2 linked regions of the Schizosaccharomyces pombe genome follow. Each later gene encodes a partner of the first gene's protein in a complex. Each region holds a gene or a part of one and is shown on either strand. Other genes may lie near its edges. The genes, in order: cyt1 and cob. A codon is read from its position in the direction of its gene.

Evidence for each region.
Region 2: the proteins of cyt1 (region 1) and cob are in contact, whole or in part, in a cryo-EM structure (PDB 8Q1B), measured with the Schizosaccharomyces pombe proteins. Residues at the interface, in NP_595846.1 of Schizosaccharomyces pombe: Gly63 (codon at 2,467), Glu67 (codon at 2,479), Val82 (codon at 2,524), Leu110 (codon at 2,608), Ile111 (codon at 2,611), Arg114 (codon at 2,620), His115 (codon at 2,623), Cys180 (codon at 2,818), Arg183 (codon at 2,827), Gly184 (codon at 2,830), Arg185 (codon at 2,833), His186 (codon at 2,836), Ala258 (codon at 3,052), Glu260 (codon at 3,058), Pro261 (codon at 3,061), Glu262 (codon at 3,064), Arg266 (codon at 3,076), Lys267 (codon at 3,079), Met269 (codon at 3,085), Gly270 (codon at 3,088), Phe271 (codon at 3,091), Val273 (codon at 3,097), Ile274 (codon at 3,100), Leu277 (codon at 3,109), Thr278 (codon at 3,112), Leu280 (codon at 3,118), Thr281 (codon at 3,121), Ser284 (codon at 3,130), Met285 (codon at 3,133), Tyr287 (codon at 3,139); in YP_011104932.1 of Schizosaccharomyces pombe: Ser24 (codon at 1,829), Tyr28 (codon at 1,841), Phe62 (codon at 1,943), Glu66 (codon at 1,955), Arg70 (codon at 1,967), Asp71 (codon at 1,970), Phe76 (codon at 1,985), Leu77 (codon at 1,988), Asp217 (codon at 2,408), Ile219 (codon at 2,414), Pro223 (codon at 2,426), Tyr224 (codon at 2,429), Tyr225 (codon at 2,432), Ile227 (codon at 2,438), Lys228 (codon at 2,441), Leu230 (codon at 4,973), Ile231 (codon at 4,976), Phe234 (codon at 4,985), Ile235 (codon at 4,988), Leu237 (codon at 4,994), Ile238 (codon at 4,997), Asn241 (codon at 5,006), Tyr242 (codon at 5,009), Ala244 (codon at 5,015), Phe245 (codon at 5,018), Tyr246 (codon at 5,021), Pro248 (codon at 5,027), Tyr249 (codon at 5,030), Pro254 (codon at 5,045), Ala257 (codon at 5,054).

Annotation. Positions count from the first base shown.
Region 1 is NC_003423.3:2,071,127-2,075,445, forward strand, and holds cyt1 (cytochrome c1 Cyt1), read left to right. Parts: upstream 1-2,109; 5' UTR 2,110-2,196; coding exon 2,197-2,256; exon of another isoform or gene 2,257-2,340; coding exon 2,341-3,204; 3' UTR 3,205-3,616; downstream 3,617-4,319. Other genes in the region: gef3 (RhoGEF for Cdc42/Rho3/Rho4 (Gef3)), read left to right, coding at 1-165, 222-893. UniProt on the Schizosaccharomyces pombe protein: Component of the ubiquinol-cytochrome c oxidoreductase, a multisubunit transmembrane complex that is part of the mitochondrial electron transport chain which drives oxidative phosphorylation.
Region 2 is NC_088682.1:8,416-14,450, forward strand, and holds cob (apocytochrome b), read left to right. Parts: upstream 1-1,759; coding exon 1,760-2,443; coding exon of another isoform or gene 2,444-4,867; intron 4,868-4,969; coding exon 4,970-5,449; downstream 5,450-6,035. Other genes in the region: cox1 (cytochrome oxidase subunit 1), read left to right, coding at 1-377; cox3 (cytochrome oxidase subunit 3), read left to right, coding at 546-1,355.

The sequences.
Region 1 (4,319 bases):
TATGTGTTGCTCGGGGAAGCTTGTCACAAATCTGAGATCGCTAGCCAAAGAATGAATGAGTTAAAAAGGAGACGAGATATTATAATTACAGCCCTGGATAGCGTCTCGAATTCCCAAGAGGTCTTACTTCTCTCCACAGATTCAATTGACAAGAAAATTGCAAAGGTACGTCGGGTTCAATGATTTTCTATCTTTAAATTTTTCGACTAATTGTTTTTTAGCTTCAAAATTCTACAAACATTTTCTACGTACCTGAACATGAGCCCATTCTAGCGTTTGTCCATCAACTGTCTTCATCCTATACCAATCTTTTAAATTTACGAAGTGCTATCTGTGATTGGTTAAAATTCTCCAGATATCATTACCTAAAATTCTTTACCTTCGTCGAAGCCTATTCTGTGTTTTGTAAAGACACTAAATCTGCAGACAAATGGGCTCTCATTAGTGTAGCATTAGACAACATTGCCAAGGGTGCAGTGCTTCGTTTGACAGAGCAATGTCAAACATCCGTTTTGAGACCTATTTCCAATGGTATTCTTTTCTTCCGAAACCCCCTTTGTGTTACCGATGTATGGATCAAAAAAGCTACAGCATTTTCCAAGCGACGCCAATCTCAGGTTTTTGAAGAGGACCTTGAAAGCTTCCCTTTACTTAGTAATTGCCTTTTAGAAGAACTTCCTCTTTTTTTGGAGATGGCGCGTAATGTTACCGACGAATGTATATTAGCATTTGCTCAAATTCAAGCTACCTTTTACGATACCATTCAGAAAGTCCTTGAACCTGTCGTTGCAAAATTCAACTTAACTGACCACCAGGATATTCCATCGATTGAATCCATAATGGATTTCACCAGTTTGCGGTCTAGTATGGAGTCCTCCCCAAAATCAAAATGAATACACGATATTACGGATATTCCAATGACTTCCGTTACTAATCGACTTTTTGAACTTAAGTTATTTCTCTTTCATTTTTTTTTGACTAATGTGTCTCTTTTTATCACGGTTAAAGGTATTTATTTATTGGATCAATTTTTACAAAATCTTTCTTTTATCTAGGAGATACGTGCTTACTTTAGAATTTGGTTTTTATTAATTTGCTTTATCTTTTACGTATCCTTTTTCATTTCATTTTTGGATGGCAATCTAATTTTGTCACGCAGAAACATTTCCATTTTCAGACGCTTTCGTTTTTGTCGCATCTCCTTCTTTAATTTTAACATTCTTTTCTCTTTAATTTTCGTCGCATTTGTCAGTTTCTTTTGAAAAATACAGCATGCATTGTATTTTTACTACGACCGGATACCTTTCGTGTTAATATTTTACTTTCATCGATATCTTTTCAAAACATGATCATGAGAGGCATTGTATTCTGTTTTTGATATGCCCAATTAACTAATATTTTTCTTCAAAAGCTTCATTGTCTCTTTGCCTTTTATTATTAGTTTATCTATTTATTATGGATTAAAAATAAGGAATTCACATTTTATAATTACAAAACAACAAGGAGCTGACTAACTTTTACACCTTCTTTAAGGAAATAACAAAAAATTGCAAACTATTATAAATTATCTTTCAGTATTCAAATTGACATTTCAAACTCTTATGTCTAAATCTCTGCTTCAAACCTATTCTTGCTTCTAAACTCAATCTTCTTTCTCGACTTTTTCGGGAGTCACTTTTTTAAACAAATACTAATAAAGTAAATTGCTAGAGATACCTTTATTCACCTGCTCGTCTTTGCCAATTGCAAAGTACCTAATTGGCGGATTCCGATCGATACATAGTATGGTGGAATCTAAAATTTTTATACTTACAGCATTGCCGGTACAGAGTATGGATTACATTCTGTAATTAATTATTGCATTTAGTACTCATATATCGTGTCACTTCTTTTAATTCAACCATAAACCATTTCTTCGATGATCTACTTGAAATATCAGTTGGTACAAGTTACACATAGGTTGCAACATTTCAGTGCTTGACATAGGATATTTTTATATGAATGTTGGAAATAATGCATTTTATTGTAAACTTGAATAGGATTCCTGTATGCCAATTATCGTCGGGAAACGCTACGCATACCCCGGGAGCGGACGCACTACCACCTTCCAACCACACCCATCTCCACTCACCCAATAAAGAACAGGGAATTTAAGCAAATTCTAGTATTTGAGTCAAAACAGAGCGAAACGTGAAGATGTTTCAATTTGTAAAGAAAAAAAATGAGTTTTTAAAATTTGCGAGACTTGGCTCTCGAGTAAGTGAAATGTGATGGCTGCTATTCGTGGAAACGGAAGCAAGCATAGCTTTTGACAAAAGAACGATCATTAACGGGGTTTAGGCATTTACCCAAAACGCACAAAAAACACATAGCAAGGGTTCAAATATTGCTTTGGTTAGTAGCTCATTACTTTCCGTAGGCATGATAGCCTTGTATTATAACGTGTATGGTCCAAGTTTGTCCGCTGGCACTCCAAAGGAAGAAGGTCTCCATTTTATCCAACACGATTGGCCCCAAAGCAAAGTGTTGTCTGGTTTTGATCATGCTAGTTTACGTCGTGGTTTTCAGGTTTATCGTGAGGTTTGTTCTGCCTGCCATTCTCTCAATTTAATTGCTTGGCGTCACTTAGTAGGTGTTACTCATACTGCTGATGAAGCAAAACAAATGGCTAGTGAAGTTGAATATGAAGATGGTCCTGACGATGAAGGAAACATGTTTAAGCGCCCCGGTAAACTTTCCGACTTTTTACCACCTCCATATCCTAATGTTGAAGCTGCACGTGCCTCCAATAACGGTGCAGCACCTCCCGACCTTTCCTGCGTCGTTCGTGGTAGACATGGTGGTCAAGACTATATCTACTCTCTTTTAACCGGTTATACCGAACCGCCTGCTGGTGTCGAAGTTCCGGACGGTATGAACTTCAACCCCTTCTTTCCTGGTACTCAAATAGCTATGGCCCGCCCACTTTTCGATGATGCCGTTGAGTTTGAAGACGGTACTCCAGCCACTACGGCCCAAGCTGCCAAGGACGTTGTAAACTTCCTTCATTGGGCCTCCGAACCCGAATTGGATATTCGTAAGAAGATGGGATTCCAAGTTATCACTGTCCTTACTATTCTGACCGCTCTGAGTATGTGGTACAAGCGATTCAAGTGGACCCCTATTAAAAACAGAAAGATTTTCTACCAGAGACCCATCAAGTAAGAAACATGATGTTTATTGTCTTCATGGTAAGACGATTGCGGAAGAAAATTTTTTTGGACTTAAACTTGGCAGTTTATCCAACACCGAACGTTTACCGGAATTTACAATCATGCAAATGCGTTCCCTTTCTTCTTCATTTTCTCTCTTTTCTGGTCCCCCTTTCTATTTGTTTTCCTACCTGTCATTTTCTGAATTTATTCTCCTCTCCACTTTTTATTTCCTCAGTATTTAATTTCCTCTATTCGAAATTTCGTATGTCAAACAAGAGTTGCAAGTCGTTTTCAATAACAAAAAAAACGAATTGAAGTAGAGGGTGAAAACTTTACGCTTCAAGATTGAAAAGATCTAAGCTGACGTTGCTATTTTTTTTTCTGATTTATACCTCTAAGGATGTTAAATAACATACATTCATGATTGAATTTAGTTTTGATTGCTATAATTTTAGCATTCCTGTAAACAATATTTGCTTTTGTGTAGTTTGGAAATTCAAAGTAGTAGTTGTCATTATACTAGTATCAAATAAGAGTAACTGGCTATTCTTTGTGCCAATCTCTAAATTTTTTCTACAGGTTTTGTATTTCTTAAGTTTGGTGTCAAGAAAACAACTTCGATAATGACATCGATGTCAAGTGCTTTAAAAATTTAGAAGTGACAGTAAAACTCACTTATTAACTCGAGCTGTTGTTTTTTAATAACATTTTGAAAAAAATACTAATTTAATTCAAGATTGGTTTATATTTGAACAAGCCGAGCAGTAAAAAAAATGCAGAAAACGTTTGTAAAACAACTTGCTTCTAAATGTTAAATGCTCTTTGCACACGTATGTTAGAACGCTTGATTCATCCTAAAGTTTTCTTTATCATTTTAAGTCATATTTACATGTCAAATTTGTGGTTACGCTTGGAAAAATATACAAGAGTAGAATTTAACTTACTTAAATCAAAATGATCTTTTATACCATATTAAAAATTGAATTACTAATATAATCAATGAAGTGCCCTGACATTTACTAGTTTACCTTATCGCCATCTATCATCTACACCTATCCGTTAATTGCAGCCTTAGTGACTTCAAAGTTGGTTCCTCGTTTACTAGATTAAGAACACTTTTGGATC
Region 2 (6,035 bases), on another chromosome or scaffold:
AAACTCTAGCTTCAATCCAATTCTGGATTTTATTCATAGGTGTTAATATTGTATTCGGTCCTCAACATTTCTTAGGATTAAATGGTATGCCTAGAAGAATACCAGATTATCCAGATGCATTTGTGGGATGGAATTTTGTATCAAGTATTGGTTCAGTAATTTCTATTCTTTCATTATTCCTATTTATGTATGTTATGTATGATCAATTTACATCAAATAGAGTGGTTAAAACAAATCCTTATTTAATCCCTAGCTATTTTGATGATAATGTAATCTTCGTAAATGAAAAATTAGGGGTAGCTCAATCAATAGAATGGTTACTACATTCACCAGTACACGAACACGCATTTAATACATTACCTACAAAAAGTATTTAATTTAAAATCTTAACCCCCCTTTTATTTTATAAACTTTATTCCAATTTAAAAATTGGAGAGGGAGATTGAAGGATAATTTAGCTATCCTATTCAAAATTGTATCTTTATAATTTTTTTATTCCTTATATGTGAGAGAACACTATTGAGATAAACTAATTTAGCTTAAACATGAATCTTTCTACTAAATTTCAAGGACATCCTTATCATATTGTAAGTGCGTCACCTTGGCCATTTTTCTTATCTGTAGTATTATTCTTTAACTGTTTAGCAGCTACATTATATTTACATGGATACAAACATTCATCAGTATTCTTTGGAATCAGTTTCTTAGGTTTATTAGCAACTATGTATTTATGGTTTAGAGATATGTCAACTGAAGCTAATATTCATGGTGCACATACAAAAGCAGTAACAAAAGGATTAAAAATAGGATTTATGTTATTCCTAATTTCTGAAACTTTCTTATTTGCTTCTATTTTCTGGGCTTTCTTCCATAGTTCATTATCACCTACTTTTGAATTAGGTGCAGTATGGCCACCAGTAGGAATAGCAGATAAAACAATAGATCCATTAGAAGTCCCTCTATTAAATACAGTAATTTTATTAACTTCTGGTGCTAGTTTAACTTATGCTCATTATTCATTAATTGCTAGAAATAGAGAAAATGCTTTAAAAGGTTTATATATGACTATCGCTTTATCATTCTTATTCTTAGGAGGTCAAGCTTATGAATACTGGAATGCTCCATTCACTATTTCAGATTCTGTTTATGGTGCTAGTTTCTATTTTGCTACTGGTCTTCATGGTATTCATATTATTGTTGGTACAATTCTACTTCTTGTTGCTACTTATAATATTTATACTTACCACTTAACTAATACTCATCATAATGGATTTGAATGTGGTATTTATTATTGGCATTTCTGTGATGTTGTTTGGTTATTCCTTTATTTAACTATTTATATTTGGGGTAGCTAAGGCTTACTTCAATTTTTCCCCCCTTTTTATATCTTATTTCTCTAAAATAGTCTGTATAGCTCAATGGTAGAGCATCTCACTTCTAATGAGTCGATCTAAGTTCGATTCTTAGTACAGATTCCACACCTAGAAGGTGTGTATTTTTTTTTTAGCTAATTTAACTCAATTGGTAGAGTGCGTACCTTGTAAGTACGAAGTTAGAGGTTCAATTCCTCTAATTAGCAATCCCTTTCCCATATTTTTGGTATAAGAGGATCTCAGATAGTATCTAACCTATCTTATCTTTTATTATCCAATATCCTTTTAATAAGATTTGGATCTTTTTTCCCAATTCCTTCAAATTTTTGACTATTTATCGATAATGATTGTTCAATTTAGAAGGGATAATTTCAAATTTAATTTTTATGAAAATTTTAAAATCTAATCCTTTTTTAGCTTTGGCTAATAATTATATGATTGATGCTCCTGAACCTTCAAATATTTCATACTTCTGGAATTTTGGTTCTCTTTTAGCTTGTGTATTAGTTATTCAAATTGTAACTGGTATACTTTTAGCTTGTTTTTATATTCCTAATATGGATTTAGCTTTCCTTTCAGTTGAAAGAATTGTTAGAGATGTAAATTATGGTTTCTTATTAAGAGCTTTCCATGCAAATGGTGCTAGTTTCTTCTTTATCTTCTTATACTTACACATAGGTAGAGGTTTATATTATGGTTCTTATAAATATCCAAGAACAATGACATGGAATATTGGTGTTATTATCTTCTTATTAACTATTATTACTGCCTTTTTAGGTTACTGTTTACCAGCTAATCAAATGTCATTCTGGGGTGCAACTGTTATTACTAATTTATTATCAGCTGTTCCTTTCATTGGTGATGATTTAGTTCATCTATTATGGGGTGGATTTAGTGTATCTAATCCTACTTTAAATAGATTCTTCTCACTTCACTATTTAATGCCTTTTGTTATTGCTGCTTTATCAGTAATGCATTTAATTGCTCTACATACTAATGGTTCATCAAATCCATTAGGTGTAACAGCTAATATGGACAGAATCCCAATGAACCCGTATTATCTGATAAAATTGCGCCGTTGTGGTATATATGTGTACCCTCATAGAGAAAGGGATATCTTGTGTGTAAAGATATGAACAATACACTTAGGTAGCTGGGGAAACCCAATGCCGAACAGAGCATGTGTACAGAAGGTCCTTCCTGTAACGAAACAGATAAGTTCAGATGGATCAGTTCAAATAGATACGGTTAGAGCTGTATTGCCCGAATTCCAATTCCCATCTCACCCTCAGATAGGTGATTGTCTTAGCTGAATAGAGACATTCTTCTCTAGATCTTTGGTTGGCTTTTATGACCAAGGATACACACCAGGAGAAGAGAGTTGTACCAATAGTACAATTAAGGGAATGAGTGGAAAACCTACGTCTATCAACTCAAACATATATACAACTACGGGTCCCGCTAAGGTCAGTAATGACTATGCGGTCAGAGATCCTGGAGTAGCTGTTGATCATTTTGATCAATACGGTCCTTTGAAAGAGGGAAGAAGTTTGAACTCTGCAAAGATTTCAACACAGTGAAGTGGATCAGCTACATTAAAGTCTTCCAATAGATCAATATTTAATATTGGTTTAGGATACATTAATACTTTTTTAGGGGTATCTAATGTAAGAGGATTTAGTACAGGATCAGGACGATCAAAAAATGTACTAAATAAACTAGACGATTTATCTAAACGATCAAAAAATTATCCTAATCTTGTAATTGATAGAAATCTCTACAAAGATTTCCTATTAAATCGAGATATGTTCCTTATTGCTTATAATAAATTAAAATCTAATCCTGGTATGATGACTCCTGGTCTTAAACCGGATACTTTAGATGGAATGTCTATAGATGTTATTGATAAAATTATCCAAAGCCTTAAATCTGAAGAATTTAACTTCACTCCTGGTAGACGTATCTTAATTGATAAAGCCAGTGGTGGAAAAAGACCATTAACAATTGGTAGTCCTCGAGACAAATTAGTTCAAGAAATTCTTAGAATAGTCCTTGAGGCTATCTATGAACCATTATTTAATACTGCTTCTCATGGATTTAGACCAGGTCGAAGTTGTCATTCTGCTCTTAGATCTATTTTCACTAATTTTAAAGGTTGTACTTGGTGGATTGAAGGAGATATTAAAGCTTGTTTTGATTCTATCCCTCATGATAAATTAATTGCTCTATTATCTTCTAAAATTAAAGATCAACGATTTATTCAATTAATTCGTAAAGCTTTAAATGCTGGATATCTAACTGAAAATAGATATAAATACGATATTGTTGGAACTCCTCAAGGTTCTATAGTTAGTCCTATCTTAGCAAATATCTACCTTCATCAATTGGATGAATTTATTGAAAACCTAAAATCAGAATTTGATTACAAAGGTCCAATAGCTCGTAAAAGAACTTCTGAATCTAGACATCTTCATTATCTAATGGCAAAAGCCAAAAGAGAAAATGCTGATTCAAAAACAATTAGAAAAATAGCGATTGAAATGCGTAATGTTCCTAATAAGATACATGGTATTCAATCTAATAAACTAATGTATGTTCGATACGCTGATGATTGGATAGTTGCAGTTAATGGAAGTTATACTCAAACTAAAGAGATTTTAGCTAAAATTACCTGTTTCTGTTCATCAATTGGACTAACAGTATCTCCAACTAAGACTAAAATAACTAATTCATATACGGATAAAATACTTTTCCTTGGTACTAATATTAGCCATTCTAAAAATGTTACCTTTAGTAGACATTTTGGTATACTTCAAAGAAATTCTGGGTTTATTTTACTTTCTGCTCCTATGGATCGAATTGCAAAAAAACTTAGAGAAACTGGACTTATGCTTAATCATAAAGGTAGATCTGTTATTAGATGGTTACCTCTTGATGTACGACAAATTATTGGTTTAGCGAATTCTATTATTAGAGGTTACGATAATTATTATTCTTTTGTTCATAATAGAGGAAGATTTGCTACTTACGTTTACTTCATAATTAAAGACTGTGTTCTTCGAACATTAGCTCATAAATTATCATTAGGTACTAGAATGAAAGTAATTAAAAAATTTGGTCCTGACCTTTCTATCTATGATTACAACTCTAGAGATGAAAATAATAAACCAAAATTAATTACCCAATTATTTAAACCTTCTTGGAAAGTTAATGTTTGGGGATTTAAATCTGACAAAGTTAAATTGAACATTAGAACACTTTATGCTTCTCACTTATCAATGGCTAACTTAGAAAATCTACAGTGTGCTGCTTGTCAAAGTACTTATAAAGTGGAAATGCATCATGTTAGACAGATGAAAAATCTTAAACCAATCAAAGGTACTTTAGATTACTTAATGGCAAAAGCAAATAGAAAACAAATTCCATTATGTAGATCTTGTCACATGAAACTTCATGCTAATAAGTTAACTCTTAATGAGGATAAAAAAGTTTAGATATCTTAAATGTAGTGGAGAGCCGTATAATTACGAAAGTATCCCGTACGGTTCGGTGACGAGCCGTGTCAACCCTGCAAAGGGAATGCGTCTTAGTTCAATGATTTGATAACAATATTTATCTTCTTAATCGGTATAAATTATATGGCATTCTATAATCCATATGGATTTATGGAACCAGATTGTGCTTTACCAGCGGATCCTCTAAAAACTCCAATGTCTATTGTTCCAGAATGGTATTTATTACCTTTCTATGCTATTTTAAGAGCTATACCTAACTTCCAATTAGGAGTTATAGCAATGTTATTATCAATCTTAGTATTACTATTATTACCATTATTAGATTTCTCAGCTATTAGAGGTAATAGTTTTAACCCATTTGGTAAATTCTTCTTCTGGACATTTGTTGCCGATTTTGTAATTCTTGCATGGATTGGTGGATCACATCCAGAAAACGTCTTTATCACAATTGGTGCTATTGCTACAATCTTCTATTTTAGCTACTTCTTTATTTTAATACCAGTATATACTATATTAGGTAATACATTAATTGATTTAAATTTAAGCTCAATTAAACGATAATCTCTTCCCCCTTTACACTATATAAAAATATCTTATTTAAACAGTATAATATTTAATAAAAAGCTCATCAAAAGGTATGAATAAAAGTTTTTTACATAGATTAGGTAATAAAACATTCTTTGGGTGTTAGTAGTGATTAGAAGAAGTTGATCTTTTAGGGATTTATTTTTATCAGAATTTTTACGGTCAATTTTTATCTAATTAAATGTGAATAAGTTTGCGATTTAATGTAATTGGTTAACATCTCTGACTCATGATCAGTGTATTAAGGTTCAAGTCCTTAGGTCGCACTTTATGCTCTGATAACTTAACGGTTAAAGTGCAGTATTGAAGCTGCTGAGATATTGGTTCGATTCCATTTCAGAGCAAATAAAAGAATCTGTAGCTTAAAGTAAAGTATCGCCTTGTCACGGTGATGGATGCCCACTCGTACTGGGTCAGATTCGTTTAAGCAGATATAAGTCAATTGGCAGACCTTCTGATTTCCACTTAGATTATGTTCGTTCGAATCGGACTATCTGCATTAAATAAGCCTAAATGCTGGAATTTGGTAGACAGAACAAACTTAAGATTTGTCGCTTTCGAG